Astyanax mexicanus: one gene and its partners. The protein of the gene in region 1 purifies or fractionates together with the protein of each later gene. This does not show direct contact. Links are inferred from orthologs where the notes say so. Each region holds a gene or a part of one and is shown in the gene's direction. Other genes may lie near its edges. The genes, in order: gosr1, bet1 and bet1l.

What was found.
Region 2: the proteins of gosr1 (region 1) and bet1 purify together in Homo sapiens (affinity purification with mass spectrometry; 3 studies listed by BioGRID and IntAct, with this or other methods). This does not show direct contact. The link is inferred for Astyanax mexicanus from reciprocal best matches to the Homo sapiens genes GOSR1 and BET1.
Region 3: the proteins of gosr1 (region 1) and bet1l purify together in Homo sapiens (affinity purification with western blotting; 3 studies listed by BioGRID and IntAct, with this or other methods). This does not show direct contact. The link is inferred for Astyanax mexicanus from reciprocal best matches to the Homo sapiens genes GOSR1 and BET1L.

What each region holds. Positions count from the first base shown.
Region 1 is NC_064425.1:15,912,430-15,923,418, reverse strand, and holds the start of gosr1 (Golgi SNAP receptor complex member 1), read left to right. Parts: upstream 1-7,020; 5' UTR 7,021-7,152; coding exon 7,153-7,180; intron 7,181-10,085; coding exon 10,086-10,197; intron 10,198-10,316; coding exon 10,317-10,404; intron 10,405-10,989. Other genes in the region: cpda (carboxypeptidase D), read left to right, coding at 542-768. UniProt on the Homo sapiens protein: Involved in transport from the ER to the Golgi apparatus as well as in intra-Golgi transport. It belongs to a super-family of proteins called t-SNAREs or soluble NSF (N-ethylmaleimide-sensitive factor) attachment protein receptor.
Region 2 is NC_064410.1:48,639,584-48,649,920, reverse strand, and holds bet1 (BET1 homolog), read left to right. Parts: upstream 1-5,357; 5' UTR 5,358-5,546; coding exon 5,547-5,565; intron 5,566-7,006; coding exon 7,007-7,116; intron 7,117-7,585; coding exon 7,586-7,642; intron 7,643-7,942; coding exon 7,943-8,098; 3' UTR 8,099-8,720; downstream 8,721-10,337. Other genes in the region: zgc:85777 (probable acyl-CoA dehydrogenase 6), read right to left, coding at 10,193-10,283. UniProt on the Homo sapiens protein: Required for vesicular transport from the ER to the Golgi complex. Functions as a SNARE involved in the docking process of ER-derived vesicles with the cis-Golgi membrane.
Region 3 is NC_064409.1:47,837,258-47,847,728, reverse strand, and holds bet1l (BET1-like protein), read left to right. Parts: upstream 1-6,368; 5' UTR 6,369-6,572; coding exon 6,573-6,594; intron 6,595-8,166; coding exon 8,167-8,252; intron 8,253-8,376; coding exon 8,377-8,433; intron 8,434-8,641; coding exon 8,642-8,809; 3' UTR 8,810-9,274; downstream 9,275-10,471. Other genes in the region: kcnj11l (potassium inwardly rectifying channel subfamily J member 11, like), read right to left, coding at 522-964, 2,513-2,720, 2,824-3,093, 3,542-3,778, 3,969-4,127. UniProt on the Homo sapiens protein: Vesicle SNARE required for targeting and fusion of retrograde transport vesicles with the Golgi complex. Required for the integrity of the Golgi complex.

The sequences.
Region 1 (10,989 bases):
GCACAATACTAATGAGGGAGTAGGGATATTCCAAATCACTTATTTTTATCTAATCTGCGATCTTTAACCCTCACCACTGCATACTGTTTAAAATAAATCATTTTAATTATCAGTTGATTGCACTATTATTTTTCAGTAAGTGCATTAGTTTTTTTTTGTTTGTTTTTTTTCCTTTGTGTATTTGACATTTGACATTTTAGGACACCTAAATAATAAAAAAAAATATATTAAAAAAAATATATATATATAAAAATATATAAGGCGCACTGAGGACTTTTGGGAAAATTAAAGGATTTTAAGGGCACCTTATAGTGCGAAAAATATGGTACTAAAACAAACAACAAACCACTAACCTTCATAACCAACAATAAAACATCCAACTAGCAATTAATCAACCCACTAACAATCTACAACAACTAACCATCAGCAAGTAAATCACTAACCAACTACTTATCTACCTCCAAACAACTAACCTCTTACCAAACAACGGTTAGTGTTTCAGTAAGTCTGATGTCCCTCTTTGCTCTGTTTCCTTCTGCAGCCGCAGCCATGACTGCCCTCACCATCACTGCCTGCATCATCTGGTGCGTGTGCTCGGCCAAGTCCAACAGACAGAAGGACGGCTTCCACCGGCTGCGGCAGCACCGAGACGATTACGACGACGAGATCCGCCTCACCTCCATGGGCTCCAAGAAGTCTCTCCTGAGCCATGAATTCCAGGACGAGAGTGAAAGTGATGAGGACACTCTGTATGCCAACAAACTCTGATGAACCCCCTTTACCCCACAGCACACTTACACCTATTACAGTCACCTACTCTGCCTCCACCCCACAGCGCCGCCCTCCAGGAGACAGAGTGACGGAGAGGGCCGAGTGGAACCTGGTGGCTCAGTTTTTTTTTTCTTATTCTGCAGTCCAGAGCTCACAGGCCTGCTCCTGGAGGAACCCAGCAGGGGGCGCTCGATTCAAAGGCCCATCAAAACACAGAAATCAATCACAGGATGCACTTTACTGCCACGATTGGTCCAAATTAGTCATCTGTTTCACACCTTGATGTATGCAAATAATCGCTGTACAGATTCACTGTACTATCTGCCCACAGCCAGCCCTATATTTATTTGAGTTTGGATAGTGTTATCTTTCTGCTTGTTAGTGTGTGAGTAACCTCTCAGCAGCTCTTCCAGCAGGTGTCCAGTCCGTACAGAACCAGTACAGCACTAACTGAACTGCCCAAGTGAACAGAAACTCAACAGGATTACTGAACACAGTGCCTTGTCTGATTAGTTTGAGCCATTGTTGCCTGTTGGCTTGTCGTGAGGTGTGAAGACGGGTGTAGGTAGTGTAATTCAGACTCTCCTCTCTGCCATACTTTTTACATTTGGGTCGTTACATAAGAAGCCTTTCTCTTTATTCACACACTGTCCCATACAATAACCCCTGGAGTTACAGGAAACAGGCGAGAGGTTGTGGAAATAAAGACATTTCTCTGAGAACGAGTGCTGCTTATGCATCACGTTTTTTTCTCTCTGTTTATGAGGACTTGGGTAAGTCAGGTGGAAACATGAGGGCAAGATCCAAACCACCTCAACTCTAAATCAGATCATGCATTGCCTTTCTGTGCTCACACTCTTAAAAAAAACAAAACAAAAAAAAAACAGGGTGCTACAAACGTTTTTTGAACAATCGTAGTATAACAGTCACTTATTCAGTTAGCATGCTGGCTAAGCTATTAATTGACCTATTATTTTCAATTCTTTGACCTATTACTTTCACACAAGGGTCACAGTTTATGTGCAAATATGCATTGTATGTAACAGGAGATGAACATTATGTGGTTCTGAGGCTCTTTTCCATGTTTAATTTTACACTGATTAGAATATAAATTAAATACAGTGGGGAATTAACAGAGTTAACAGTGCAGCAGATGGGGACCTCAGGCCCTTGTCTCTGTAACTAGTGTGAATAATGCATTCAGCCAATCAATTTAGAAATGAATAAGTTCTTTTAAAATTATTAAGGAAATTTTGAGTTAATGCTTGCCAATTTTCACCAAATCATGGCTCCAAATTATGTCCTCCCAGCGGAAATAACTGGTTGCAGTCATGCTTGATGCAGCAAAGCCTCCATATGTCTGTGAAGTCTGCCATTATTTTTTCCCTTTATTCAATCACATTTTTTTTTAAGCAAAGCCAGCCAAACCTTATCTCTGAAAGAACCATTTTTGGTTCAATAATACCATATTTGTCATAGAAATGATTTAAAAATATGAAAAATCTTTTCTTAATAAAGGTTCCATTTAAAAGGTTCTTTACAATCACTTTGTATCTCTATTCCAAACAAAAGTTGTTTTCTTTTTAGTATCGTTCAAAGAACCGTTAGTAGCATTTAGTTTTTTTTTTTTTTTTTTTTTTAAAGAGTGCAGTTCTTGAGCACTGTAACATTGTAACGGGGTAACAGTACACATTAGTCACGGGTTGGTGTGCATCACTGCTTAAACCTTGCAAAATATATACACAAAAAAAAAAACGTTTTACTTCAATCTAGTGCCGCATTCCATAGAATATTGGTCTAATACTGATGCAGTTTCCATTATACCATATAAATTTACTTATTTTCTGGGTAATACACACACTTGTGAAATCACTGTTTTTACCCAAACAGCATATATTTATCTATGCTACATTATCATACCATACATTCTTTTTGTGACTGCCTACAATTAACTTTTACCCACGTACTGTTACACCCCTATTATACACATACACACCGGGTCAGTTTGTTGCCTAGCTTTCACTCAAAGCCTCACTTTAACTCACATTTGCTAAGAATACACAGGATTGTATGGAAGCCTTCAGTCACTTCAGAGTGAGTGGTATTCAGCTTGCCAAGAATGTATAAAGTTGTTTCTTTAATTTTTTTTTATTTTATTTGATATATTTTCTTTGCACTCTTTCAGCAGGCTTGTTTGTGCATATCTAATCTACTTAAATATACTGGGGTATTAAATGTTGGAGATTTGTACACAGATAGAGTTGATGTTGGCCACACACTGTTTTAAAAGCTGTTAACTATGTTTGTTGTTTCTCAGAGAATCCTCCAGTCACAGTTGATCAGAAGTACTGAGTGGAAAATGTGATTTTATAGGGATTTCACTGGATTCTAATTATGAACTGAATAAGTAGATAGCTCTGGTAGAGAATCTCTGGAAAAGGCAATAACATATTTGATTTGTTTGTTGATTTCTTTATGAATTTGTCATGTTTCCCACATTTTTACTGATGTAAACTAGGGCTGCACGATATTGGAAATATTTTGCAGAAGGATGTGTTTTTGCAATATTAATTATTCATTCATTAATTTAGCCACTTTAATACTATTTAAGTACTTAAATAGACTAAATTTTCCTTTCAATGGTAAATCTACATTCAGAATGCTGTGTAGCATTCCCCATAAAGGCTGACCCCTTTATGGGGAAACACTGTACTGTATTATGGAGATATAATCTGCCTCTGGTAGATTAGTCATATTAGATTTTATTAAATATATTACGTATTTTCTTTGCGCTTATTTTGAGTTCAAATGACTTAAAATAAGATAAACTCTAAATTAGACTGATTTAAGAGATTTATTCCTAAAATAAACAAAATAATCACATAATCAATTAACATTTAGAATGCTTAGCCAGACAAAGTCTTATTAGAAAAGAACATGAGATTTATGGCTTTAAAATTAGATCATTTCACTTGCTGTTTAAAGCAGCAATAATGTTTAATGTTCAGTTAAGTTTGCTGCACATGATTTTACATTTTGCAATTATTGTTCATTGTGATGTCTATGCTTAAACAATATATTGTGCAGCCCTAATGTAAACTGCATATTGAAAATCAGTCAGTCAGTTTGCATATTTAAATTATCAAAAAAAATCTGATCCTTATTAGGAGTTTGGTCAGTTTAAAGACCCTTTCCACTCAAATCTGCATGTCCTTTTCTATATCCTAGCGTTTCAGTCACTAAAAACTGCTTTTTTTTTTTTTTTTTTTTTTTTTTTTTTAGAAACACCCATAAAGCTGGAAATTGTATTTATTTATTTTTTTCTGTTTTCAGTTTAGTTGTGTAGACAGGAAAAAAACGAGCTTGTTTCTATTTCTGGCCGAACCTCTAAATCTTCTAAATTTAGAATCTATAGTTTTGTGACTTGCATAATACACTACTTGAGGAGTAGTATGTATTGTAGGATTAAACCTCTGTGTTTTCTTTCTGCTAATGTCTCTCCCAATGATGTACCTTCAGCCCTTAAAGTCTCTGTATGGAGGGAGATATTTTAAAAAACAGAGGAAAACGTCTGATTGAAAAAATTCATGAATATGTGTGGACCAGGGGTCACCTTCACCAATCGCTCTAAAGTAGAAATTTGTTCTTAAACTCTCTAAAGCAGCTTTTATAAGGATACAGACATTAACCAGTATTTTGTTATTTGGATTTTGTTAAGTTTGTAATGATGGACAGACTTTTTGGACTTTAGATTTTTTTGTGACAAATGAAAGAAAATACTTAGGAAAGTATTGGTGAGTGAGACCCCATAACTCATCCTTTCTATTAAGAATCAAGCTGATATTTTATTAATCCATCTGAGCGAGGTTTTAATGTATGTAGTTATCATTTGGTCATCTCAATTAGTAATAAAATATAAGATTTTATACAGTGCCCCTGCTTTAAATGTATAATATATCTAGGCAAAATCATTTTCTGCCTTAAAGATTTTTTCATTTTTTTTGTTTTCATGTATTAAGATGTTGATTTAGTATTTCCACAGGTAATTCATGTTATCATGCATAAGAATGCAGACTGTGTCCTATACAAAAATTCAGACTATGATTTTCTTATTTTGGTGTTCGCATTATTTTGTCCATCCCCAGAGCATATGAAATGCAATATGTAAAACTGTTGGTAACCATCCTGTATTGTCTCCAGTGTTTGTTTTTGTTTGTTTAATTGATTCAGTTATGAAGTTACTGCACCACCATTAAGAAACACAGTGTACAGTAGAAAGGCTTGGGGAAAGGTCCATTTGTTCACTGTTTGTTTCCATTGCTACATGAACTCAATATGATGGCTTTTCTGCTGATTTTCATGCTTGAGTGCAAACCTTGGTTGTGTGCTTGCGTGTGTGTGTGTGAGACTGAACAATTGTGTATAGCTTTTGTATGGTCTGGTTGTGCTGATGTGTATATATATTTTTTCCTTTTTATACAAAAGGGATTGATTGTAGATAGCTACGTGATGCCAACCGTATGTAAAATGATTTAAGTGCAATTTGGGTGGACGGTGGAACACAGTGTGAATAAACTGCTGTTTATATCTGATGCTGAAATGACTCGAATGTCTGACTTGAATCTGTAACTGAGACTAAATAAGTGTGAGTAAAAATATTGTGGTGAATATTTTTTATTTATGATGATACAAAAAGGTGTTTGTGTTTGTGTCATCATCAAAGAAATTGGGCAGAGAATCTAAACTCTGTGACAGTGCTACACTGAGGAACTCTGAGTGGTCCGGTAAGCCAGGGCAGCTAGCAGTTTGTTAAGACTTTGGGCTAAGCAAGTAATCTGTGATATGGCCCAAATGGCCTACCTGTAGCAATGCACCTGTTAAACATACTAATTGGCGATGCTAATGGACCAGGACCTGTCCATAGAAAAGAAGTTATCAAACTTCTGAAACAAAAGAGAGGTAGTCTCCATATATGGTACCAACAATTGATAGATTTTTAACAAATTGTGAAGTATGCGTTCAATACAATTACAGAAAGTCTCTGACTGCACTCAGACATATTTTTGTGCCAGATGGTCCATTCAGACACTTAAAACGTACAGGGTTCTGAACATATTTATTAACCACAGAATGTGACAACGGCCAGTTTTTGAAAAGCCTATTCAAATTTCCCATAGATCTGAACCTCTTAGACACGAAACCCCAAATATGGGCATAAACAACATGGCACCCACTACAAAATAATGACACGACTTCAGTGGTCTATAGCAGGCAAGGCCCACAGAGTCACCCCAGTTTTACTATGTGCCAGTTAAAGTGTGACAGGTGGGGTGTCGACCAGCAAATAGCCAAATGCCAGGTTCTTTAAAACGGCAGCAGGAAAGTGTGTTGGAAAATACAATATTCAGGTGTTTTAAGAAGCTCTTTATGATTGTTTTATGTGCAGTTATTTATAAACAACAGCAATAATTAGACACACTCTACTGACTGGATTACCTTTCTGGTGGCATGTTTTTACTTGGAACTTGGAAAATCTTCTTAGCTACAGTGCAGCAATGAGCAGGAATTTACTACAGGAAACTACAGGAATTACTATATTGAAAATCACCTCCATACGAGACAGCCTATATCTGTTTTAGTTTTTTTTTTTTTTTTCGTTTAGTGGAGTTACCTCTTGCCTTTAAATTTCTTGTTTTCATTTATTTGTGTATTTATTTAATCTACCCTTTTCATTATTTTTGATCACCTTTTGTATGGCGTTTTTGTTTATTTCTAATTATATTCTCCATCTTTTTCTTTAATTTAATTGTTATTTGTTTACTAATTATATTTCATATTTAGGTGTTTATAATAGTTTTGACTGCTTTAAATAGTTTATGATATTATATTTTATTAACTATTATAATTATATAATTATATATATATATAATAGCTTATTAATAAATAGTAACATTTTAGCTTGTCTACTTTTAATTTTAACTTTAATTTAATTCCCTTAGGTTTTTATTTAAAATCGTGTCCCTTTTTTAATTACATTTTTAATAGCATTTCTTTTATTGTTAGCTTGTGCAATTATTCATTTTAGTTTATCCCGATTAAAATCAATAAAAATAGATATTTTTATTAAGTCAAGTTGTAAATGCTAGGCTGCATAAAAAGTCAGGGCTCCCCTCACTGAAAATAAAGGTAGATTGATTTATTTTATATTAAATCACAGGTAACGTTATTATAAAAAAGTAGGATCTGTGTTGTTGAGGCTGGGAGCGGGCTGTGTGTGAGCGGGTGCTCGGGGCGCAGGGCGGCGCTGTGGGTAGATTTTCAGGGCTGAGCCGCGGAGTCTTCCTTCTGCCAGCGCGACGCGGATGACGTTCAACAACAAAGATGGCAGGAAACAGCAACTATTGGGAAGGTGAGGTGGCAGATTGGCGTTATTTAGGCTGTATGTGGTGTTTTAAGCGCTCGGGAGACGTTTATTCTAACTTTTCCGCTCTGTATGGTGCTGTCTGAGGCGGCCAGGCCTGACCGAAACACAGGGACACACTTTACCAGAGCGCCGTTAAGTAACGCTAGCGCGGGTAGCTAAGCTAAGCTAAGCTAAGCTGGCTAACGTAACGTCAGTGATTTAGCCGAGCACGGAGTCGGGTAGCCGGTGTTAATAATGTTCAGCTAGAATATCAAACTCCTTACAGAATAATTTGTCAGCTATTTTTATGAATACCTGACTGGTGATATAGCCTGTTTATTATCCTAATGGCTTCGTCTAACAACTGAAGAGTGATGTAGTTAGCTAGCTAATTAGCAAGCTAGCCAGCTGGCTGTGGGTTAGAGTTGGGATAAGTTAGCTTAGCTGACGCTATATAACTACAGACCTGGAAAAAAATAAGAGAACACTTTATTTTCTGAATCAGTTTATCTGATTTTGCTATTTATGGGTATACTGTATGTTTGAGTAAAATTGACATTGTTGTTTTATTCTATAAACTACGGATAATATTTCTCCCAAATTCCAATAAAAATATTGACGTTTAAAGCTTAACGTTATTTTAACTTAACGTTATTTACAGAAAATGTGAAATGGCTAAAATATCACAAAAAGATGCAGAGATTTCAGACAAAGCTTCAAAAAATGCAAAGAAAACAAGTTCATATTCATAAAGCTTTAAGGAATAACCCTGGTTTTATGCTTCTGACATGTTCTCCTCCACCAGACTTACACACCGCTTTTGACATCTTCCTCAAAACTATATTTTAGAGCTTTTAAATTTGGTAAAATCAAAAACTCATCATTTTAAGTGTTTTCCTATAATTTTTTTCCAGCGCTGTATCTATAGACCTAACGCTAGCTAGTTATCGAGCTATGTATCCTAGTCCATTTAACGCTGGTTAATGTATTATATAATCTTGTTGATATGTAGATGTTCCTGTCTTACAAAGCAGAAAATAAAGGAATATTGAGCTCTGTGATAAAAGCACTTTAGTTACAACGTAAACGCAACTCGCTAGTTAAAAAATCTGCTTTGTTTGCCCCATGTTTCATTAGCTAATCTAGGTTAATTAGCTAGCTATCTACCTCTCATTCAGACTGACAGGCATCTGATAACATGGTGTCATCCACTGACTGATATCATGGCCTTCTTTTTAAAGTCTTCTTGTGTGTGATTGGCATTAGATGTAAGTAGTAGTATTTTCTTATTGCCCTGACATTTTGATAAGATATGATAAGAAAATGTATCACAATACCATAAAATATCAATATATGAAATCAATGCACACTAGAAGACTTGTGATATTTGTTTGTTTACAACATGGTACAGTCTGTCCTGAAAGTTTCTTTAAGTATTGATATGGTAAAAACAGAGGTGGAAAGTAATGAATTACATTTACTCAAGTTACTGTAATTGAGTAGATTTTATGAGTAATTTATCATTTTTAAAGTAGTTTTTAAAATAGGGAATTTAAATTTTACTCAAGTACATTTTTGACACAAGTAATTTACTTTGCTACATTGGAAAACTCCCCGTTACTGAGTAAAAAAAATGCTGGGGGAAAAAAAAAACAATTGTCTCAATTAAAAAAAAAAAATTGGCACCGATGCTCGCGCGTGGAATAACGAGGCAATAACGTCCTCATGCAATGCAAAATGTGCCCCACCAGACAGCTGTCAGCTTTCAAAACTTTCACATCAAACCTGCGGAAGCATGTGGTGTAAGTACTTTTATCATTAAACAATCTGCTTAAATGTTAAAAAACATGTAAATAGCAGTTAAAGCATAGCAATGGCAAGTTAAAATATAATAATAATGAACTGTAAAACTATAAAAATACAGTTTATAGTAACCTATATTACCATAACTTTTTAATAGTAAAGAAAAAAAAATGGATCATAGAAACCTATGCCACTTGTTTTATGGGGTGGTCTGAATAAATACTGCCTTAAAGGTCCAAATAATTATGTGGAATAATAGTTCATTAAACAAAATTTAATTTATTATTTGTTTTTACTTTTGTATATCAAATAATTAAAAGTTTTTACTCAAAGTACATTTTAAATTGAGTACTTTTTGCTTTTACTCGAGTAGATTTTTAGATGGGTACTTTTACTTGAGTAGAATTTTAGCAAAGTAAAGGTACTTTTACTTAATTACAATTTTTCAGTACCTTTTCCACCTCTGGGTAAAAATATATCACCCATTAGCCTGTGATTATGTACACTAACAATGGTGACTATATTGTTATATTGACTATACTGACATTGATATAGAGAGATGATATCGTATTAAATGATTTTTTGTGTGTGTTTCTCTCAAATCAAATGCCAACCATACACTAGAAAACTTTAACAGTTCTAAAAGTGTAAAAAAAAATCCATTGTTTGGTTGGTATTAGAATGTCAAAAAGATATAGCATAATGTGGACAAGACCCTGGTTAAATGAACTAAGACAGCTGCCAAAAAGCTAATATTATTAATATTATCAAGATAGATGCACACTGTAACTCTTGCAGCTCTCATGTGTTTTCCTTATGACATTTTAAATTGGTCTGCTTCAAAGAAATTGCCTGGAAAGAAAGACTTTGGTGTGAGGCCGGCATTAAATGTAATCTAGGGGTGCCCAATCCTGGTCCTGGAGGTCTGACAATCTGCACGTTTCCTGTAGAAACCTAATCTATTGATCAAGGTAGTAAAGGCCATGCATCAGAATGAAGTCTTTAGGCTGCTAGGTTTCCAGGACCATGATTGGGCACACTTTATGCCAATGAACCCTCTTCTCTAATATTTGTGTTTTTTTTTTTGTTTTTTTTTGTCCTGTTAAAGACTTGCGCAAGCAGGCCAGACAGCTGGAGAATGAGCTCGACCTGAAGCTGGTGTCCTTCAGTAAACTGTGCACCAGCTACAGCAGCTCGCGGGATGGTCGGAGAGGAGACAGGTACCTGTGAATAGCAGCAAGTGAAGCTGCAGCGACACAGTTGCATTTATGTTTAATTTATGACTGTCGAAACACCCTTTTCTTATTTTAGTTTTGTTCTCTGTTTTCCTTTCTAACAGTTCTGACACAACACCCCTCCTCAACAACTCCACTCAAGACAGAATGTTTGAGACCATGTCAGTCGAGATTGAGCAGCTTCTTGCTAAAGTTAGTAATCTTTATTTTTTTGTTGTTGTTATTGAGCTTATGGTATACTATGATATGAAAATGTATGGTGCTTATACCATGGACCTTTTTTTATTACCGATATTGGTGGAAATATACAATTTCTTACCCACACACGTACATCTCCATTCTACCTTGACTGCCCAATAGTTTCAACATCTGACACCAACTTCAAACACATTCAGTGCAGAAAACAACAGACAATAATAAACAAAAACATCTAAAATCAGCAGCAGCATGGGATTATTTTGGATACCCCCTAGAGGAATTGTTGGTTCATCGACATTGTCAAGACAAGCTGTTTGTAGTGCTTTGTCTGTTAGCATCGTAATGTTAACCTGTCTGAGCCCAGCTGTTATTTCACCTATCCCGCTATTCTAGGAGTCATAGTGCAGGTTCAGAATAACCTTCTAACATGTTATAGGTATCAGAGCAAACAACAAAAGTTTAAATACTGCTCTGAATTTTTTTTGTTTCCTTTATTTTGCTATTTATAGGAATATGTATGATTAAAATTAACATTGTTGTTTTATTCCATAAATTATGATTATTATTTCCAATAATGAG
Region 2 (10,337 bases), on another chromosome or scaffold:
ATTTGATGATGCCTATGTGCTGCAGACTTCAGGGAGTCATGGGGTTGAAAGGATTGCAAATCAGGCAAACATGATTGCAAACATGACAATTTTTATTTAAGATTGCTTGATAATTGTTCAATTACTTATGGTCCCCCGAAATGGGACTGTGAGCTCCTTCAGCACTCTGAACACCTGCATGCCCAGGTTGCCATATGGTTCAGCCAATCTACATATAAATACGCTTGAATTAAAGCTGATTTACTGCGCTCTGCATGTTCCATTCCAATTCCAAAGCACTATTGAGCCAAAACAACAAAACCTGTCATTGACCACTTATCTATGGACTGCCCAATGTCATCAGCTAATGTTCTACAAAGATTGAAATGTAAATCTCCAGCAGATCATGGTGTCTCCTGAGCACATGGGAGAAAAATAGACTGATCACAGCGAGGCCGTTAACCCACAGTTTGCACTGAAATGGAATGGATTTGTGAGCATGATGATGAATGCTGATGACAGACGACCTGCTGTGCCTCGACTCACACACTGCTCTGCAGACTCCCTGGCCTTGTTCCTGAGGAACTGACTAGAAGTCAAACACTAAACATGCTGTCGCTTTCCGCAGATTTCAAACCCACCCACACACACATTCAAACTTCACAACATGCTAAACATTAGCTAACATTAGCTTTTAGTGCTTTAAGTACATATATAAGCAATAATACACTTGAGGTTCATGCTATAACGTGTAAAAATGGCACTGTGCCAATATTACACGGTATAGCATAAACCTCTAGTGTATTATTGTGATTGTACCACAGTTTCATTATCACTGTTTATTAAAAGATTTTGAGTTCAAAAGAACGAGAAAATATGATCTGTTTGGTTGTAAAGACTCTGCGAGGTAAAATAGTTAATTGCTGCTCTGCTTGCAGCTGTGCTGTAAGTGCTTCAATGTTGCTAGGTTATGTATGCGCGGAGTAATACATGGAGAGCTTTGGTTACAGTGCATTACTGGCTGATAATGTTACTCATTAAACTCCTCTCAGCCAATCACATTGCAGGGACAGAACTAACTGTGGTATAATTAAACATAAGTTTACCATAACATTTATATATCCATATTTTGTTCAACATTCAATTTTTTTAAGCAAATTAACAATAATTATGTATGTATTATGTATGTATAACAATGTGCCAAAATATATTCTCTATTGGGAATATTTATCAACTTCAATCAGGGATGCTCCAGTTGTGCACATGACTATATCTGTATTTTTATTTTTCTCATTAGTCATTTGAGAAATACTTTGGCTGTACTTTTGTATGACATTTTCTTGACATTTCAGACACGTTTAGCTCTGATGTTGCAAGAAACATTACATCATTTGCACAAGCAGTGATAACACTGTGCAGCACATCTTCACTGTTCCAGAACATTACTGTGCATTGAGTCATTAACAGGACAGACCTGTTCTGTTCAACTTTCTCACATCCATTATTAAACAAGACATGACAAGACTATTAACAATACCTGTTATGGGTACAGATGGAATGCAGTGAACACACACATACACACTAGTAAACTATTGCTGCTTGGTAAAAGAGTACCAATCTGGGGACCAAATCCACAATCCTGTCATTGATAACCCTTTGTGCTCTAACAGCCCAATATGAACTGTCACTTTGTCTTTATGCCCTTTGTCTTTGTATAGAATGTTTACTGTATATTATACCACAGTTAGTTCTGACCCTGCAATGTGAGAAGCATTCTATGAGTGCTGTTATCAGCCGGTAATGCACTGTAGCCAAAGCTCTCAGTGTATTACGCCACCACATACAGGTAACCTAGCAAAAATGTGGACGCAAATGTATTTATTAAACAAAACAAAACAATGAAACAAAACAGAATAGAACATAGGAACTTTTTGAGAACAAAGGAAAATTGTAGTGAGGTTAGGATGTTGAATAATCACCACCCTGCCTCATCACAAATGCCCCAACTCATTCCAAATGTATTGGTTGGAGCTCCATAAATCTAGAGAACACAGTTCCACTGCTCCACAGCTCAAAGATGGACGTCTTTTTTCCCTTTGGTGTCAGTAGCTTCATGTTAATCTGCTTTAAAGAGTCCTATTCTACTGGCAACAATTCTTTACTGGGAATAGGCAAGCTGTATGTTTGTGTGTGTCATCTGTGAGTGTGTCCAGAAAATATTTAGAAATAAAGTGTATTTTATTATTATTTTTTATATATCAGTGTAAATAAAGCACATTGTTTCTACCTGTGCTGATATTATATATGAATTCCCCTCATAAATTATTAAAAACGTATAGACCAATATAAACCAAATATGGGATGTTTTGCCTTCTTGTGTAAATGTAATATCTTAGAGCTATATTGCTTAATTTAGACAGTGGTGATATGCCAGTGGAGCTAGGCCTAATGCACTACTAAAGTAACTTGCTATGTGAATTTACTGAACGGCATGAATTGCATATTATTGCATTTTATTATTTTTTTATTGCACACCAGCATAATCTTCATAAAGCAGGGGAGAGGGGCAGGTATTGAAATTGTGATTGTAGGAGGGGGTATTGAGACTGTATAAAGGGGCATTGCACAAATGAGACAGATATTACACATCTTACACAATACAACAGGAAATAAGAAATGACAGCATGGGCTAGAATAAAAAGCAAAACTAGATAATGCAAAATGCAATGCACATGGATGTGGGATACATCTCAGTAACATGTAAAATATACAACCTAATATATACCCAATATATACTGTATAAATTAATTTCTCAATATTTTCCAATATACAGTACATCCATTCCTTTATTTCTGTCTTAAAACAAAATTCCAAAAAGGTTGTGACAATATGGGATGTGCAACAGTGTGGGGTCATCACATTTTTCATTGCAAAATTCTCCAAACATTATTTATAGGCAACACAAGACTGCAGTGGTTTTGCATTGGTTTTTTACTTTGCATTGGTTTTGCAAAGTACATGTTTTTATGGTGTGGAGGTCTATGCAAAATTATAATAATTATAATAATTAATCCAAAGCTCCAGCCATAAAATCCCACAACATTTTGCTTGGAATGTGTTGTGAGCCTGGAATGCAGGAATAGATAAGCCTTAACAAATGGAAGTCCCAGATATTATGATTTGTGATGGTATATTAAATGCAATTATATTGGAATATGGTGTACCCACAAAATGCAACATGTAGGATATGATATGATATACTGCATGGGTGCAGTGATGATTCAAAAACACAGTCTGTGGTGCAGCAGCAAATTACTGACCACAGTGGTTCAGAGCTTTCCAATCACATTCCCGTTAATGGCTTTAGAGAGCTCATTTACGCTTCACCTTCGGGCTACATGCTGTCATATTAAAGCACACACTGCCTCTCCATATTACATGAGTCAAAGGAATTAGCCACTGTCAAGTTTTAAACCAGGTTACAGAACCTGAACCTGAAGTGAGCTAGCATTAATATAACCACTTAAGCATGTCTCTGTGATATCCTATAAATCTACGCCCTCTTCTATTACAGTGGTCATCATTCTGAATCACTCTTGCAAAGAATTTCACAGGATCCCTCCAAGCTGTTTATAACCCTGTTAGTGGTGAACGCATTGCTTTTTTGAGCTGTTTCCAGGGATCAAAAGATATTTAATGGGTTCATTTCAGTGTGAATGTATTGTATATCATATACTACTATAATTATTATCGTCTGTGACTGGCTAGAACTGTCCATGCAAAAAAAAAATCACATCCACATTCAATGCAGGAGGAACCACACACATATCCCGCAGGTCAGTGCAGCAGTCTTTATCCATGTAATATGACAAAAGACATGATATTAGATCCTGCCCAGTGGCATTTGAAATATGAGTTTGTAAATATGTATACACAGCATAGGACAATACACCAGACATGCTGCGTTTATAAATATAAATCATTTATTAGCTATCCACTACTGTTTGCTTATTTGCACAGTGTTGTACATGCCAGCTTAACTTCATACCATGTTCTTCCCTATTTCCTACACTGCACACTAAATGTTAAACTTTTACCATTTAAATCTCTATTTCTAACTACCTACACTATGTGTTCAAATGTTGACCACTTATAAAAAAACACATTTAGCTGCTTTAAGTTGCATCCATTAATGACAAAGATGTGCAAATGCACACCAACAATCAACAGTATAGGTCTCACTAATTAAGCAGTGGAGCAGTGGAACATTGTTCTCTGTAATGATGGTGCTCTATGGCCTCTACACATTACATATAGAGCTAAGCTAGGGTGACCAGACGTCCTACTTTTGAGACTTAAATTTCAAAATCCGAGAGACAGACTGTAGCACATAAACAGGTAGCAACGTTAGTAAAGTTAGGATTTCACAGGGACTTTGAGGTGATTGAGGTAACGTTAGAAAAGTTAGGATTTCACAGGGACTTTGAGGTGATTAGCTCTATTACATGAGAATGATGAGGAATGGCTGATAAAATAGCAAACGGTCAAGACTGAGAAGTGTTGGATGAGAAGCAAGTGTATATTTTAGGCTACATCATTTTATTTTAGATATTTAGGTTAAAGGTGTGTTGAAAGGCTGCATAGTTCGAGTTTTATAGCCTTTATGCTGTGGATCAACATGTTTTAAAAAGCACTAAAACAAGTGAAATAACAGATTTTACTTAAAAAGTAAGTGTAAAAAATATAAAAGTAATATTAGGAAAAGGTATGCCCACACTGAATAAGAGTAAAACAGTGTCAAATGCTTTTAAGACATAGTTGCATTGCATGAATTTATAAAGCAGCCCTGTTTGTAGCCTGATACAAATACATGTTATAGCTGTTTAAAGGAGGAAGCCCTTTAACCTGAAGAATAAGAATTGAGCTGTTATATCAGAGAAATTCAGAAAATACATATTAGACATGAATTCAATAAAACCAGATGCCCGCAAGTCAGATAAAATCTCCCGGAATATGGAACGAGTGGCCCAAGAGTGAACGCAAAAGTACACACAGGCAAAACAGACTTTTTTCTGTCAGTATGCCTTTAAGAAAAATGTGTTTTGGAGAGAGCTTAAGCTTTTGTCCTTAATGACATTTTTCCCACTTACATTACTTTTGCTTTCATACTGTTAGTAGTTTTAGAACCATTACTTTTACACTTTTATTTGGGTTAAAAACTTGAGTTGATACTTCAACTTTTAAATAACTATTTTAAACCCTAGTGTCTATATTTCTACCTGAGTAATAAAGTCTTTACTTATTTTTGACACGTTTGATATGTGTGTAATCCACGCTGAAACACACAAAGAACTACATTACCCAAAAGCCTCTATCGCTGTAAGCGTCGCGGCTCCCGAAGGATGTCGTGTCGAGAGGACGTAGGCTAAAGTTGCAGCGCTGGCTAATGTAACTACAGATCTGTGACTGACTCTGGAGCTAATTCAGCATTAACTTATATTTATACTGAACCCTGAGCGGCGGGGGACTGAGGGAGAGAGGGGCTGAGTTTAGGTGCAGACTGTAAAATGAGGCGAGCAGGGCTGGGTGAGTCACTCTATGCAGTTATATGAATCACAGTTGGATAGGTTAGCTAAGCTAAGCTAAGCTAAGCTAAGCTAACTGGGTTAGACGGCTCCAGCCGGTGCCGCCTGCCTGTCAGAGGCTAATGTAGAGCACACAGTCTAAACACTGTCAGAATAGAACCTGTTTATATTTACTGCGGGTTTTGTTAGGTAGCTATAGCTAGTTTATACACAATCTGCGTTAGCTAAGCTTTCTAACGCTAGCTAGCTGGAACTTCCTACGTGGAACTTTCTACCTGGCCAACAAGCTAACCTAGCTAGTTAATTAGCTAACTTAGATAACAAGGCCACGAACAGATGTTTTGCTAATAGCTAGCTACCAAACTCTTGTTCATTTGTTATGTAGCTAATTATATAACCTAAATCTAAGCTAATATAATGTTTTATCGCTGTTCTGCAGAAGACCACAGAGTTGTTGTGATAGCTAGCCAGATAAATATACAAGTACCGTTATAACTAACCAGGGTGTAGACTGCACACTGAATCAGTCAGACTATCCTACTGCTTATTCTTCACTCTGTACTTTCACTTTCACACCTAGGTTAAGTAATCCAAAGTGAAACGGTTCATACCTCAATGACTTAAGAAGCTAGATATAAAATTATGTACCAGGAACACCATATTTCTTTTGCAGAGGAACCTCTTGGGTTCCTCTTTGGAGAGTCTGTCAACTTAGTCTGTGAAGCTAGCTTGCTTTTAGCTAGGCTTGGCCCTCAAATCATATCACAATATGTCATTGTATTTTTTGTGATAACGATATTCTTGGCAATATGACAAAGCATTAAATTAAATATCTATATCTACAAATTGATACTACAAATGAGTTCCATTAACAGGAATGAGTGTTGTTAACAGGTGTGATTTCTGTCTGGAATATCAGTTATTTGAACATGCAGTTTTTTAAAAAGGTTTTTTAAAATAAAGACTTTCTTAAGAGAAAATCAAAGGAATTTGTGGACTTGCTTTTAAACCTGCTTTTTAAATGCCACATGATTTTTGTAACCATCTTTGGATTAGAAACCTTGTAAAAAAACTAAGTAAAGCTTCCTGAGTTTGATCAGTATATGTTTTGAATAGTTGAATATGTTTTATTAGATTCAGAGTAAAAAAAAAAAAAAAGATCAAAAATATTATTAATAAAATTAATATAATAATTTTTATACGATTGATCTTTGATTACATGCTTGTAGTCAAAGTTCAGAAGTGACAGGCTATTTTTAAGGTGCCGTCACCAACACATCACAAACTAACGTGCAAAAAATAAGTCAGCAGAAATAAATCTAAAAGAGAAAATTATAACAAGTTAGATTCTTTTTGAGGAAGTATACTTGTTTATTATTTAGAAAAGTACAAATGTAACTGCAACATGTAACTCATTTCTGTTACCTGTTAATGTTTCACAGGTGAGGGAGCCCCACAAGGAAACTATGTCGCAAGTGGGTACAGTGTTTATGAGGAGGAGAACGAACATTTACAGGAAGGTCTTAGAGCAAAAGTAAATGCACTGAAGCATGTAAGTATTTTACTTTTAACCAATTTAGGGTCCATATCATTTTGTATACAACCCATTAATAATCGTTCTACTGTTTTTTTTTTGAATAGGATAAAATATTTATTTCTTAATGTTTTTTGCACTTATTTCTCTTTTTTCCACTCCTTCCTGTTAAATTTAGAACATTTGTTCTAATTGGGTGCATAAAACATGGTCCAGGCTGCAACACGTGTGAATGTAGAATATTCTAATCTAATGGTATGTTCAGTGCATGCTGGTGCATAATGATGTAATAGGTCATTTTGATGTATTGATTGATCTTTTGCCTTTAAGATAATTAACATGATTATCTTCTAGGTATGCAAAAAAATTATATTTTTTGCTTCATAAATAAGAGGATTTGTTCACATATTTACACTGAATTAATCTAAATGTAAATTTGGGGTGAGGTTGACATTTAATGCATTTGTTTGTTCTTGTTTTCTTTCAGCTATCAATTGACATTGGAAATGAAGTCAAACACCAGAATAAAATGTTGGGAGAGATGGTAAGTTTGCATTTTTGTCATGTGACCTGTGTTGGATGTTGTATTGTGACACATTATGCAAATGGAACCTGTCACATGGTTGTTTGGGTTTTTTTTTAATGCAGGCTTTTTTGCTTAATTTAGGGTTACTGTTAAGGTTATTTGTTAAGACTATGTTAAGCCTTTGTTGTGCTTATCTCACTGGTGATCATCACTGATTGCCTAAACCAGTATTCTTGTCCAGCACAGTTTGGTATTTTTCCTTCTTGAACACACAACAAGTCTAAACTTTAAATTCTGTTTCTATTCAAAACTTTGTAGGACACAGATTTTGACTCCACTGGCGGTTTGCTGGGAGCCACCATGGGCAGACTGAAGCTGCTTTCCAGAGGAAGCCAAACCAAAATCTACTGCTACATGCTGCTGTTTGCTCTCTTTGTCTTCGTAATCCTTTACTGGGTGATCAAACTGAGGTGATGTAAGGACTAAAGAATCTCACACATACTCTCCCTCATGTGCCATGGCCCATTGGATCAGACGATCAGAATCACCAGTAAAGATAAGGATAAAGAAGATTGAGTACCACTAAAATCTGTCCTATTGGGAAATCTTTATCAGATATTGTGCAGTACTGTGGGCAGAAACCTCTTAACATGCCACAATGTCCTCCTGCCACATTAGTGATTTTAGAGGATTAATTGCTTTTGATGTCAGTATTTATCCAGAGATACAAAGACAATGATGTAATACCAGTGTGGGCCATTGCAAGCTGTTAAGAGTGATGGTTCAGTATCTGCTGTTTTGTACATCACTTAATGCATAATCATTATAAACTGGCCCAAAACAAGGATGTTAATGTACCTGAGTGAGCAGATAAAAGCCTTGCTGACGCAGGTCAGACAAAGCAGAGAAATGCGCTGCCACAAGTATTGTCTGTTTTGTTGCGTTAACTGAATACTGTCGACTGCTAAGAGTAATTTGGGTTTGCGTTTTGTGTTAATTTCATCTCTATAATAAGAATGCATATTTTATGTTGTATTTCTAACGAAACTTGTAAATAAATAAAATGGCAGGCATTAAAAATCATCTGAAGCCAAAATGTTCTGTATAGTTTTTTTTGTAAAGACTTAACAGTACTAACTGGATATCCCTCTCTCAAGTGCACCAATCAGCTGAGATCCACAGTGTAGGTTTACACAGGTATTTACAGACTCTCTTAGCTTGTACTTGGAGTTTGACCTGCCTGATTTAATATGTGTTTTATTCCAAAAAGCACATATTACATTTTATCTTGACATAACTTTATGAAGGCCCAGCATTATGATGCATTACTCAATCTCTTCTAGGTATATATCATGTGGTTCTGTTCAACTTCTGCTTGGGAAGAAAAAATGACAAGAGAATTGTCTGCTGTTTGTGTATGGTTGTTTATTAATTATTTTCCTTTTCTTGTAAAATAAGTGAGATCATACATTCAGTTACAGATAGTACAAGAAAACTACAATAATCAGTATATTTACAAGCTTATCAAGTAGAGAAATACCTTTTGTTAAGGCAACATGATAAATCTGTTTTTTTTTTTTTATTAAAAATCAAAGCAAATTTAATATGTGTTTTAACAAGAACTGTCCATATTTCCTTGCTGCCCCTTGGAGGCATCCACAATGCCAGTAAAAGGATTATTCCATTAATTGGCTAAAGTAGTGGAGTTGCTTATATTATCCCTCAGAGTGATGAATGAGGTTTAGAGTGGACACAAGTGTTTACATCAGCATGTTCAGAATTTATGTTTTAAAGTATAACATCTATACCTTATTAATTTAGAGTGCTTGTGAGCAAAGCTAAAAGCTATGTAGACACCCACAAATATAAAAGTTCATACACTACAGTTTTAGATCAACTGATTGTAGCTTATAGTAAGTTCAATAGATTTATGGGCATTAAACTTAAGCTGAACACTTTTTAATTGAAATCCTCTTTTTATGTCCCCTTCGTCTCCCATTCTGAATTCTGGTCATTCACATTTCAAGCACCATTCATAAATTAATATTTTTGATACTTTTGCTCAGATCATATTTGTCTACGTGGACAATTAATATTGATAAGTACAAAAATGCCTGGTTTCTGTCTTTAATGTGAACCTATCTGTCCCTGAAACACCACACGTGCACACTGATATTGTGCAAATTTATGCAGTTTTACTACATTGCCGGATGATGACAAAAACCAACAGTATTAAACACTTATAATCCAATATAAATGTTAATTTATGACACATGCCCACGAATCAGATACACTTCCAATCTAGCATCACACATGTGAACAAATCTAATTGGAAAAGACTGGATCGAACATGTCCACACAGCTCAAAAATTATCTGATTTGTGTAACATTAAGGCAAAAACTTCAGTTTGGTTTTTGCATCATTTCAGTCTGGTAATGTGAACCTGAATGTAGCCCCTGTTGGAGAGGCATGTTTAAAACAATACTGAAACTTCTGAAATTTCCAAGCTTTTTCCTATGTTAAGTGCACTTTGTTATAAATCAGCATACACAGCTCCTTCAGTGCTGTTATTTCTTGGGTAGGGTGTCCATGTACTTGCAGATGATTGAGAGCATGACCTCATCTGCTCCTGCCCCAATCGACATTAGTCTGGAATCCCTGTTTACATGAGACAGAACAGCAGAGAAATGTTAATTAATGGACCAAAAACTC
Region 3 (10,471 bases), on another chromosome or scaffold:
TAAAACGTGCCATTTTACATAAAGCAACAAGCCTTGAGGGAAAGGTACAGACTTTTTAACCAAATATCTATATTCTGCATCAGTAGCAAACATTTGATTTACATACACAGTAGTTTGAATACATGTACATGTACGTATTATGGAAAAGAAAAAAACAGAAACACTTGGAATAAAAGTTGAGCACCTGTCTACTGGCTCCGAAATATAAAGGAGTTCTTTAAGAAGGGGAGGAATGTTATTGTCCATGAATGCCAACACTACAAATGCAACAGAGTGTTGCACTGTTCTTTAGAAAAGGAGAACCAAGTATTTAGTAAAGTGCAGATATATAAAGGAAAGATTCATTAAAATTCATTTTTAAAAAAGTTCATTAAAAATTAAAGCAGCTTCCCATTTATCTCAAATTAAAAACACCACAATGTTGCATTGTTTAAAAAAAATCTCAACAGCATTAAAAGCACTCTGTAGCTACACTGTTATTTCCACAGCAGTAACCAGGGTACAGTATATCAGCTATATTTTTAATCACTCATATCCTCTGTGGCTTCCTCCTCAATCTCTCTCCCTATCACCTCTAGTTTCACCATCTTCTTTTGCCCCTTCTTTTCTTTCCCTTTCTCATCGTCCTCCTTTTCGGCTGGAGCGTACCATGGCCTGGCTGCATTGTCATCACAGGCCCGGCCTCCACCCCTTCTGTACCCGCCCCGTCCAGCACGAACCAGCCCCCAGCCCTGTGGCTTGCCCTCGTGTGGGCCATTGTCCTGCACTCCTCTGGTCTGGTCCAGCTCCTTGGCGCTGAGGGCGGGCATTCGGACAGGCACAGTGTTGCCAAATTTTGAGTAATCCACCGAGTAGCGTCCGTCCTCCTCAGTCATGATGGAGACAAAGCGCCGCCCCCACAGGATCTCATCTGGCGTGTAAGATGTGCGTGCCTGCATGGTGATGCCAGTCGTCTCCACAACGCCTGTCGATGAAACAAAGGGTTATTTAATAAACCTAACTGTGTTAAATGTAGCTTTCAGAAAATGTTGCATCTGACAGTTTCTTAATTGTTATTGCACACTGCCTGTCTCAAAACTCGATGTTCTTGGCTATAAAAAAGTGCAGTTATTGCATCCTAAGACTTATCAATCAGTAACAACAAGAAAAACAGGTTGTTCTTGATTATTCTAAAATGCTAAAAATGACAGCCTGGACCCGTCTGGCCTATTTAAGGATAAAAATAGTGGGGCAAAATGTATTTAGTCAGCCACCGGTTGTGCAAGTTCTCTAACTTGGAAAGATGAGTGTGTAGTTTTCATCATAGGTACACTTCAGCTATGAGAGACAAAACAAGAAAAAAATTCAGTAAATCACAATGTAGAACCGAGGTCAAACGTTTCCTGTAAGTCTTCAACAGGCTTGCACATACTGTAGCTGGTATTTTGGCCTATTCCTCCATGCAAATCCCCTCTACAGCAGTGATGATTTGGTGCTGTCCCTCCACAAATATTCTATAGGGTTGAGGTCTGCAGACTGGCTAGACCACTCCAGGACCTTGAAATGCTTTTTTACTGAGCCACTCCTTCATTGCCGAGCAGTGTGTTTGGGATCACTGTCATGCTGAACACCTAGACACATTCAATCTTCAATGCTCTCACTGATTAAAGTAGGGTTTTGGCTTAGAATCTCACAATATTTGTCCCCATAAATTCTTCCCTTAACACAGATCAGTCGTCCTGCCCCTTTGCAGAAAAACAGCCCAAAGCATGCTGTTTCCACCCTTATGTTTTTGGAATGCAACTCAGTATTCTTCTTTCTCTAAACATGACCAGTTGAGTTTTCTTCTGGATCATCCATATTTTGTTTGCCTTTGTTACTTTGGTCCCAACTCTGCAGGTCATTCTTTAGGTTCCTCTGTGTATTTCTGGGATTTCTGCTCACCGTTTTCATGATCATTTTGACCCTATGGGATGAGATCTTGCGTGGGTCCCCAGATGGAGGGAGATAATTAATGATCCTGTATGTCTACAGTTCTTTAGTCTTTGCCATGGTGGAGCTGAAGTCTGATTGTTTGAGGCGATGGAGAGGTTTCTTTTCTACAGATAACGAGGTCAAACAGGTGCAAATAATACAGGTAAGAAGTGGAGGATGTTACAGGTCTGTGAGAGACAGAAATCTCGCTTGTTTGTTACTGACCAAATACTTATTTTCCACCATAATTTACAAAAGTCCTACAATGGTATTTTTTTCTCTTTTTTCTCAAGTGTAACTATGATGAAAATTACAGACCTCTCTCATCTTTGTAAATAGAAGACAGTGGCCACTGTAAACTCTAATGATAATTGTTGTGCATTAATATGTAATTTTAATTTACTAAGCATATTTTTCATTTTTATTATTTTTTAATATCAATTTAAGAATTTAAGTTTTTATAGCACAACAAAGTAGTGATTTCATTACGTCACATGAATTTCCCTTATATTAAATGCAATGGCATGCATGACATCACACAGGCCAGAAAACAACCTACCTTCCAGAATTACAATGATTTCTAGGTCCTCATTGGGCAGTGACTGGGCAGAGACCTCATAAAGTGGGCTTCCTCTCTCAATAGTGTGACTAATGATCAGTGGTGAGACCAGGAAGATGCCATTGCTCCTGAGGGGGTTTTCCACCTGGATGTCCAGCTGGCAGACTGGAATCACCTCCCCTTCTGCTGTTACTGTCCTCCGAATGACCTGAGCACAGAGTGACAGAACACGATCAACCAACATCCACCTCGTGGAACTAGAGCACCTTTACCTGCAATAGACTATAATAAACAGCTCAGCTCTTCCTCACCTGCAGCTGAATGGTAGCAGAAATTATCATGCTCTTCCTCAAGTCTCCAACACGGAACATGAACGTGGGCCTGCCATTGCGTGGTGCGATGACAGCATTGCGAGAGAAGATGAGTGTCTCTGCTCGTCGATTAGCCTGAGCTGTCTTCATGAACACACAGCCCAGCATAACTGCATTGATGATGAGTCCCAGAATGTTCTGGATGATCAGAACGGTAATGGCCAGTGGGCACTCCTCAGTCACCATCCTCCCACCGAAACCGATGGTCACCTAACATTAAAAATAAAAAATACAAGATTGTTTAGGGTTGCTCAGAAAGCCAACACATTTTTTTCATTGGTTATCATTAATTTTGCCACTTTTTTCATCAGTGAGTAAAATTAAATAGGTAACACATTTTTGTCTGGGTTTAAAAAAAAAATAAAAAATTTTGACTGAACACACTAAACTCTGAACATGTTTAGCATTCTAGAGGACACACAAACAATATTGTTCAGTACAAATTATTCAATCTTTTCACTTATTTAGCAGAATACCAAAAGTGCTCTTTTTTGGCCAAATAATATAGGGTTCTGAACATTTGGTGCATCCCTAGTATTGTTAGGGTTGTTATATGTGCCTTTTCAACTCTATATAGAACCCTTTTGCTATGAGTGTAGACATCTAAATAGTACAAGACTGTCCACCAAAGTTTCAGTCTATGCAGCCATTTGCTCACCTGGACTTCGATCGAGAAGAGGAATGCTGAGGTAAAAGAGTGAATGGCAGTGACACATGGAACATGCCCACGATCATGGGGGTCACGTGGCTCCAGGTCACCGTGGGCAAATGCCAGGAGCCACCACACCATGGCAAAGAGCATCCAGGAACAGAGAAATGCTGAGGTGAAGATGAGCAGCGAATGCTGCCACTTGAGGTCGACCATTGTGGTGAAAACATCCTGGAGGAACCGACCCTGAAAGGAGAAATAAAAGTATGCGAATAATTCATACTGATGCATCTTTATCAAAGAAGAGCTTTATAAAATAGTGAAATACAGACATTTTTCACTTTATCAAGAATCAGTTTAACAGGTTATAGAATGATGTGAATGCATAGCAAAAACAATTTTATAAAGTAATGACTGCGTGATCCAAGTGCTCTACCTGTTCTCGTATGTTCTTATGAGCAACATTGCAGGATCCGCTCTTGGTGATGAAGCGAGCTCGCTGCGATTTGGTCCGGAAACGGTTGGGCTGTGTGGCATCTTCAGCCAGTCTTGTCAGCAGAAATCCATCAGGCAGGAGGCCTTTCCGGGCCAACATTGCTGAGTTTTAGAGGTTTGCTCTTAAAAACTATACAATAAAACACTAAATAAACTACTATTCAGTTTTTTTTTATTAGTTTATCATAATAGTGTCTACTTTAAAGGTTGTTTTATGAAATCAATCTATTTCTATTTGAGAAAAGACTAAGTTACGTTATTAAATGACAAAGTTACAAATTAAATTAGTTATTCTGTTATTCATGGGAAATGCTGTTCTTGAAACAGTAGTTTAATTTCACTGTGCTCAACAATACCAGTGAAACAACAGGTTTGAGTAAAGACCACTACAAAACATAGCTAGGCTATCACTCAAAATACTATGGTTCAATTACTGACAGATTATATCCCAGTTTTTTTTTAATCCAGCTATCCACTCAAGAGTAGAGATATGGAATTACAGCACCAAAGAGAGATTAATATTATTATCTCCAGCTTTAGTTTAACAGCATGAACGTGACCCACTCACATCCAGGTGTATCAGATTTCACTGGATTTAATCTATCCACGTTTACAGAAGCCTTTTTTATTTTCGTCGGTAATAAATCTTACCATTGTTTTACCATAAAAATCAGATAAATAAAAATCGTTAAATCTACGCTGTATTACAACTGAGGCATTACTAATTAAAACAGCAGATTATCACCAGTCTAAACACAGCACTCGACAGGACTCACTTGCTACGTGCGCAGTGTGATATTAACTACAACAACAACAAAATACAGTTTTTATTTAATCACATAAACACTGGCAGCTAGGTTTAGCTTGCTAACATACAAAATCGCCAAGTTGCCTTATCTAGTGCTCTCTGTTTAGCTATCGATACCTAAGAGAGGTCAGATAGCCAGGTTAGCTCGCTTATTTGAATGGATGGTCATCCAGCCGCCATTCGCCATAAACCCCCATCATAGATAAACAATTCCTATGTAAGCTCGAGTTAATAACGCTGAAATACTTAACCCGCGAAATTCGCAACAAAATACAGAATAATTCCAGGAAATAAATGAAGTTAAGATCATCCTCATGCGCGCGAGAGAGCTGTCTGGCGGGTTCTTTACGGAGGATGCTCGCGTTATCTAGCTGAGCATCTTATGCAACGCATCTGTGATGATGATCAGCAGCAGCAGCAGTGTCTCTGAGCGGAGCGCCGCCGCAGCTCCACATCTCATCCCCCAACCAGAGGACCAACATATCCCACAACCCCCCGCGCCTCCTCGCTCAGGATATAACAACCATAGATAGTAATACATAGATGAAACTGGCGTGTCAGCGTGGCCGCCATATTGGAAGAGTCAATCATGCGCCCCCAGTGCATTTATTAGTGAAAGGTGTTTAATACACCTATAATAATCACAAATCTACCAATTTATACCCGATTTTCACACGGTTTGGTTTGTTACAAACAGCAGAGATGTAGTAATGATTCAGGACACTGCCACACATTACGAATATGTGATTTCAAGCTGAAATACTTTATATTATGCTCTTTAACAAAGACAGACATATGGTATGACATATTAATAAGTGTATACATGAATTAATTTTATATTTATATGTACATACATACGCATATATACATGCTTACACATACACATACACACACACACACACAATACTAATAAATGCATTCATGGGTTCATAGTTGACTCCTCCAATATGGCGGCAGGCTATGTAGCGTCTATATATACATGTCTATGCTCTATGTGGCATCTATGTATAAATGTCTGTGCTCAAAACGCCTGGCCAGCAGAAGAGCCTCTGATAGAGAGGAGAATACCCAGTCGAGAATCATTTCCGGGCTTTTTAGGGGGCGCTCCCGGCCGAAAGCTGATTTTATAAAAGTTTTATATTTTTAATTTTCAACAAACACTAATTTCTCACAACAATATCACATGTTTCAGCACCGCACACATGATTTTAAACGCTTTCAAACTGCAGTTACAAACCTTTTAAAGACGCCTTTGTTGAATCTCCATCAAAAGCTCACCAACCAGTCAGACCACAGTAGCAGTAATGCTAGCGAGTTTGTTGTCCAAAAAAAAAGAAAACCATTCAAACATTTCTTAGCCTTTTTTGTAGCAAAATACTCTATTTCTCTTTCTATAATTATGGTAATATCCTGGGTACATAGTTAGACACTATTTTAATTTAAGTTTTTAGCCGTTTAGCTCCACTCACCACATTCATTAAGGACTCCCTCGCGGGCTCCCTCTGGCGGCCAGCGGTAATTCTCTGATATAACAGGAGAGACAGGTATAGTGTGAACTCTCTATAACCCGGCTCTGATCTCACACAGACTCCTGCCGTGTTGTGGATTGTGACGAAACGGTCTCATACGAGTGACTATTGGTATCTGAGTGTCTTTTAAGACTGATTTTATTCAGGTTTCTTCTCCGTCACTGTGATTTAACAGCGGGACTCTCATAGTGAAGGATCGTCTGTAAAGATGGCTGATCACTGGAACAGGGGTGAGTGACACGTCGCTCCTCTTATACAGCAGTTTTTAAAGTTAGAGAGGGCTAACTGGATCTCCTCAGTTTATCAGTTTACATCAAACTGAAATTCACCGTATTTATTCTACTTCTGACACTAAAGTATCAGTTCTTTACCTCTAATGTTCTTCGATCATAATGAAATGCCATTTACACGGTGTATTAGCTCATCTGCGCATTTACACTGGTTGGGTTAGCTAGCTTTAGCTGTGTTAACATATCAGAGGATCCTGTTGTCAAGATTCCAGATTCACTCAAATCCACTGTACAAACATTCACACGAGGCTCTTATAAATTATAATTAGTAATTTCACTGTCAAGCGTTATGTTGTTTAAATTGGGTGAAAAATAGAGCATATAATATAATCTGCTTCTCAAATATGGAGGACCAGAACTGCCAATATAATTAATTAATTAATTAATAAAAAGGAAATGAAGAAACAAAAAAGAAGTAAGGAGTAAACAAACACTAGCTAATTAGTTAATTCATTTATTTTTTATTTTGACATTTCTGGTCCTCCAAAACACCTAAATAAAATATAGACATAAACTGTTCCCTAAATGTTAGAAATCGTTTTCTCATTTTAACCATCTGTTCCTTCTATAAAATTAACTATTTGTTCAGTTAAGAAGGAGTCCTTTTGTTAAATTGAGGAAACAGTTTAATATATTGAGTGAATGTTTTTTTTTTATTAAGGAAATGCTTTATTAAATCAAAATAACATTCTATTAAATTAATGGATTGTTGTAAGTCTCTAAATATTACATTTTTCAAAGAATAAATAAATACATAAAGGAAACACTAAAATAACACATTGTATATGTGTCTCAGATACTTTTGAGACAAAAGCATCAGCTGTTTGCCAAAATGGGAGGGGCACTGGGTGATGGGGTGGGCAGAAGGAGGAGCTGATTGGGCTGAGCAGTGTGCCTCTAATAGCGGTGAGATGTAGATGTTGGACCTCAGTAGGGGGCAGTATTATTGATTGACTGATTTGCAGATTGTGAGTGTCTGTGAACCAAAGTACACCGACACATCATCCTCACCTATAACAGTCGAACCTGAGAGGGTGCTGCAGAGGCAGAAATGATGGCAATAAAAGAGTTTTTTAAAGGTTAGGAAATGTTTATAAAAAAATATATATATATATATATATATGTAGAAGGTTTGTTTTCATTTTAGCTATTAATTTCAGCTATTAATGAAAAAAATATGGTTTGGGGTCCCTTTAAGAGGAAGCACTTTAATTAAACTGAGGAAACAATTTATTAAATTGAGTGAATGGATTTTTTATTTAGAGTGAATGCTTTATTAAATAGGGGGAATCTTTATTACAGTGAACAAAAATATTATTAAATCAAGAGAACAATTCACTAAATTGAGGGAACATTTTTAGTCTCTTAGAATTATTGTCACCTTGATAGAATCACATGTTACCTGCACAAAAAAGGTAATCCAATAATTTTATGGTTAATTAAAAAAAAGTATTATTTACTTTTGTGTTTAACTATAAAATGTATGTGCATCTTTTACCACTGTCTTCCTAGGACATGGGGCTGTAGATGACATGCTGGATGAAGAAAACAAACGCATGGCTGACAATCTGGCAACCAAAGTATCTAGATTGAAGTCGGTATGTTATAATCACTTATATCAGTCAATGAAGACAGTCTGTCTAAATAATTAACAATGTGTTCATGATTGGGCTAAATTTATAAATGTACTTTGTTTTTATTTATCTGTTTTGTCATTCACAGCTGGCATTTGAAATTGACAAAGAGGCTGACGAACAGAATTCATACTTGGATGGCATGGTGTGTGTTTTCTCTGACTCAATTTAGAATTTATCTAAAAAACACTGCTGTAATATATCCTAAGACTAGATATATTATGTTCAAGATCAAATGTATGTTTAGAAAAGTGTTTCTTAGGTCTGAATAGCCAATCTTTTACAGTATAGTTTCATGTAATGGAAACATGAGGTCTGTAAATATGGTAATTTTTTGTATCATCTTCCTTTAGGACTCAAACTTCCTCAGTGCAACTGGACTGTTGACAGGGAGCGTGAAGAGGTTTTCCACAATGGTCCGCTCCAGCAGAGACAACCGAAAGATTTTATGTTATGTATCCATAGGCTTGGTGTTGACATTCTTTTTGCTTTATTATCTAGTCAGGAGAATACAGAACTGAAAAATATTTATATATTATCTTCTCAGTTTTATGAGAAACAAACATGTGTGAATGCAGTACTCTATTCTTCATGTTTACACAAAAACAGTTTTACTAATGGGCTTGCTGGTTCTAAACCTGGTATATTTAAAGGGTGAAGTGAACTGAAAATAATTTCTTTAAGATCTGTCTGTTGTTTTCCAAAAGACTTTATAACTATAAAAATATTTCTTTCATGCATTCCAATCTTATTACAAAATAAATTGTTTTTTAAAGACACTTGTTATGCTTGAAAACATAATGAGTATACCATGGACCAATTTCTGTTCTTCTAAATGTTTTCTCTTTTGTGTGCATACATACATGCTTGATTTGAGTGTGAATGCTTTGATCTTATATGGCTGAACTTTAAATCAAATTGTTGAGTATGTAGCTAAGAGTTATGTTTAATACTGAGAGTAGATATAGTATATAAGAAAAATAACTAATAAAGTTTGTTTTTTAAACATTTTTGTTTTCTTTTATAATTTTTTTTATCTTGATTGAAGTGAATAATTTGTTACAGACTAGAAAATGGGCATGCTGACAGGAACGAGAATTATTATTATATGGTCCAGGCTCCTTCTGCTTTCTAGCTCTAGTCTCATTAGTAGATTACATTAGTTTGTAGTTAATTGTATGCTGTCTATGTCATTTTTGTTATATATCTATACAAACTGATTGGACATGTTTTTAAAACCACTGTCCATTTTACCAGCTCCACACAACACTGTGTACATTTAACCTGGACGTAACTCATCTAATGGATATACTTTAGAGTAGTCAGAGGTGACATGAGGTGAAATGAGCCATGATGCTCCTTCTCTTTCTCACTGAACACATCACTTACAGGAGGGGAAAAAACATTGCCCGCCCTCACATTGCCCGCCCTTTCTGTTTTACATGTGCATTATAAATATGCACACGAGGATAGCACCTTTCACTCACACACACGATTAGGAAAAAAGTCTGTGTCGCCTGCGTGCGCGCCTTGGGCCACTTGTTCTAGATTCCGAAAGATTTTATCTGACTTGCGGGCATCAGGGAGCCGTTGTTGATATGCGGTAGACTCCCGAAACTTTTTTTTTTATCTTGACCTTCTAATAAAACCAACTGTGTTTTATGTTATCATAAAATAACATAAAATAACAACAGTTTTTATTTTTGGTTCATGCAAATTGTGTCCTGAACATTGTAAATAATGTTCTGTGCAGCTCATTGTGTTTCATTGTTTACCAGTTTAATTTCTCTAAATGGGACATGGTGTCAGAATTTGAATGTGTATCCCATGGCTGGCATTTGATGAGTAACAGAAACTGGAAAAGCAGCATGCTGGCATCAGTAGAGATGGGGCTGCAACGATTAGTCAAAATAATCGATAATGTTGATTATTTAAATTTGTCAACTACAAATTTCTTTGTTGACTAATCGTTCATTTGTAACAGTACTGCATTACACAAAGTGCTGGGGACAAAAGCACAATGAAACATGGGTAAATGGATCACTCACTTAGGTTACACTCAATTTATTCTGTGTCTTCAAAAGTGCCCAAACCCAACAGATTAGTTACATATTTAATCACTAAATATCAGTACTCTCCATGTTTAACCAACAGCTAGACATTTAAATGCCTATAAATCTTAT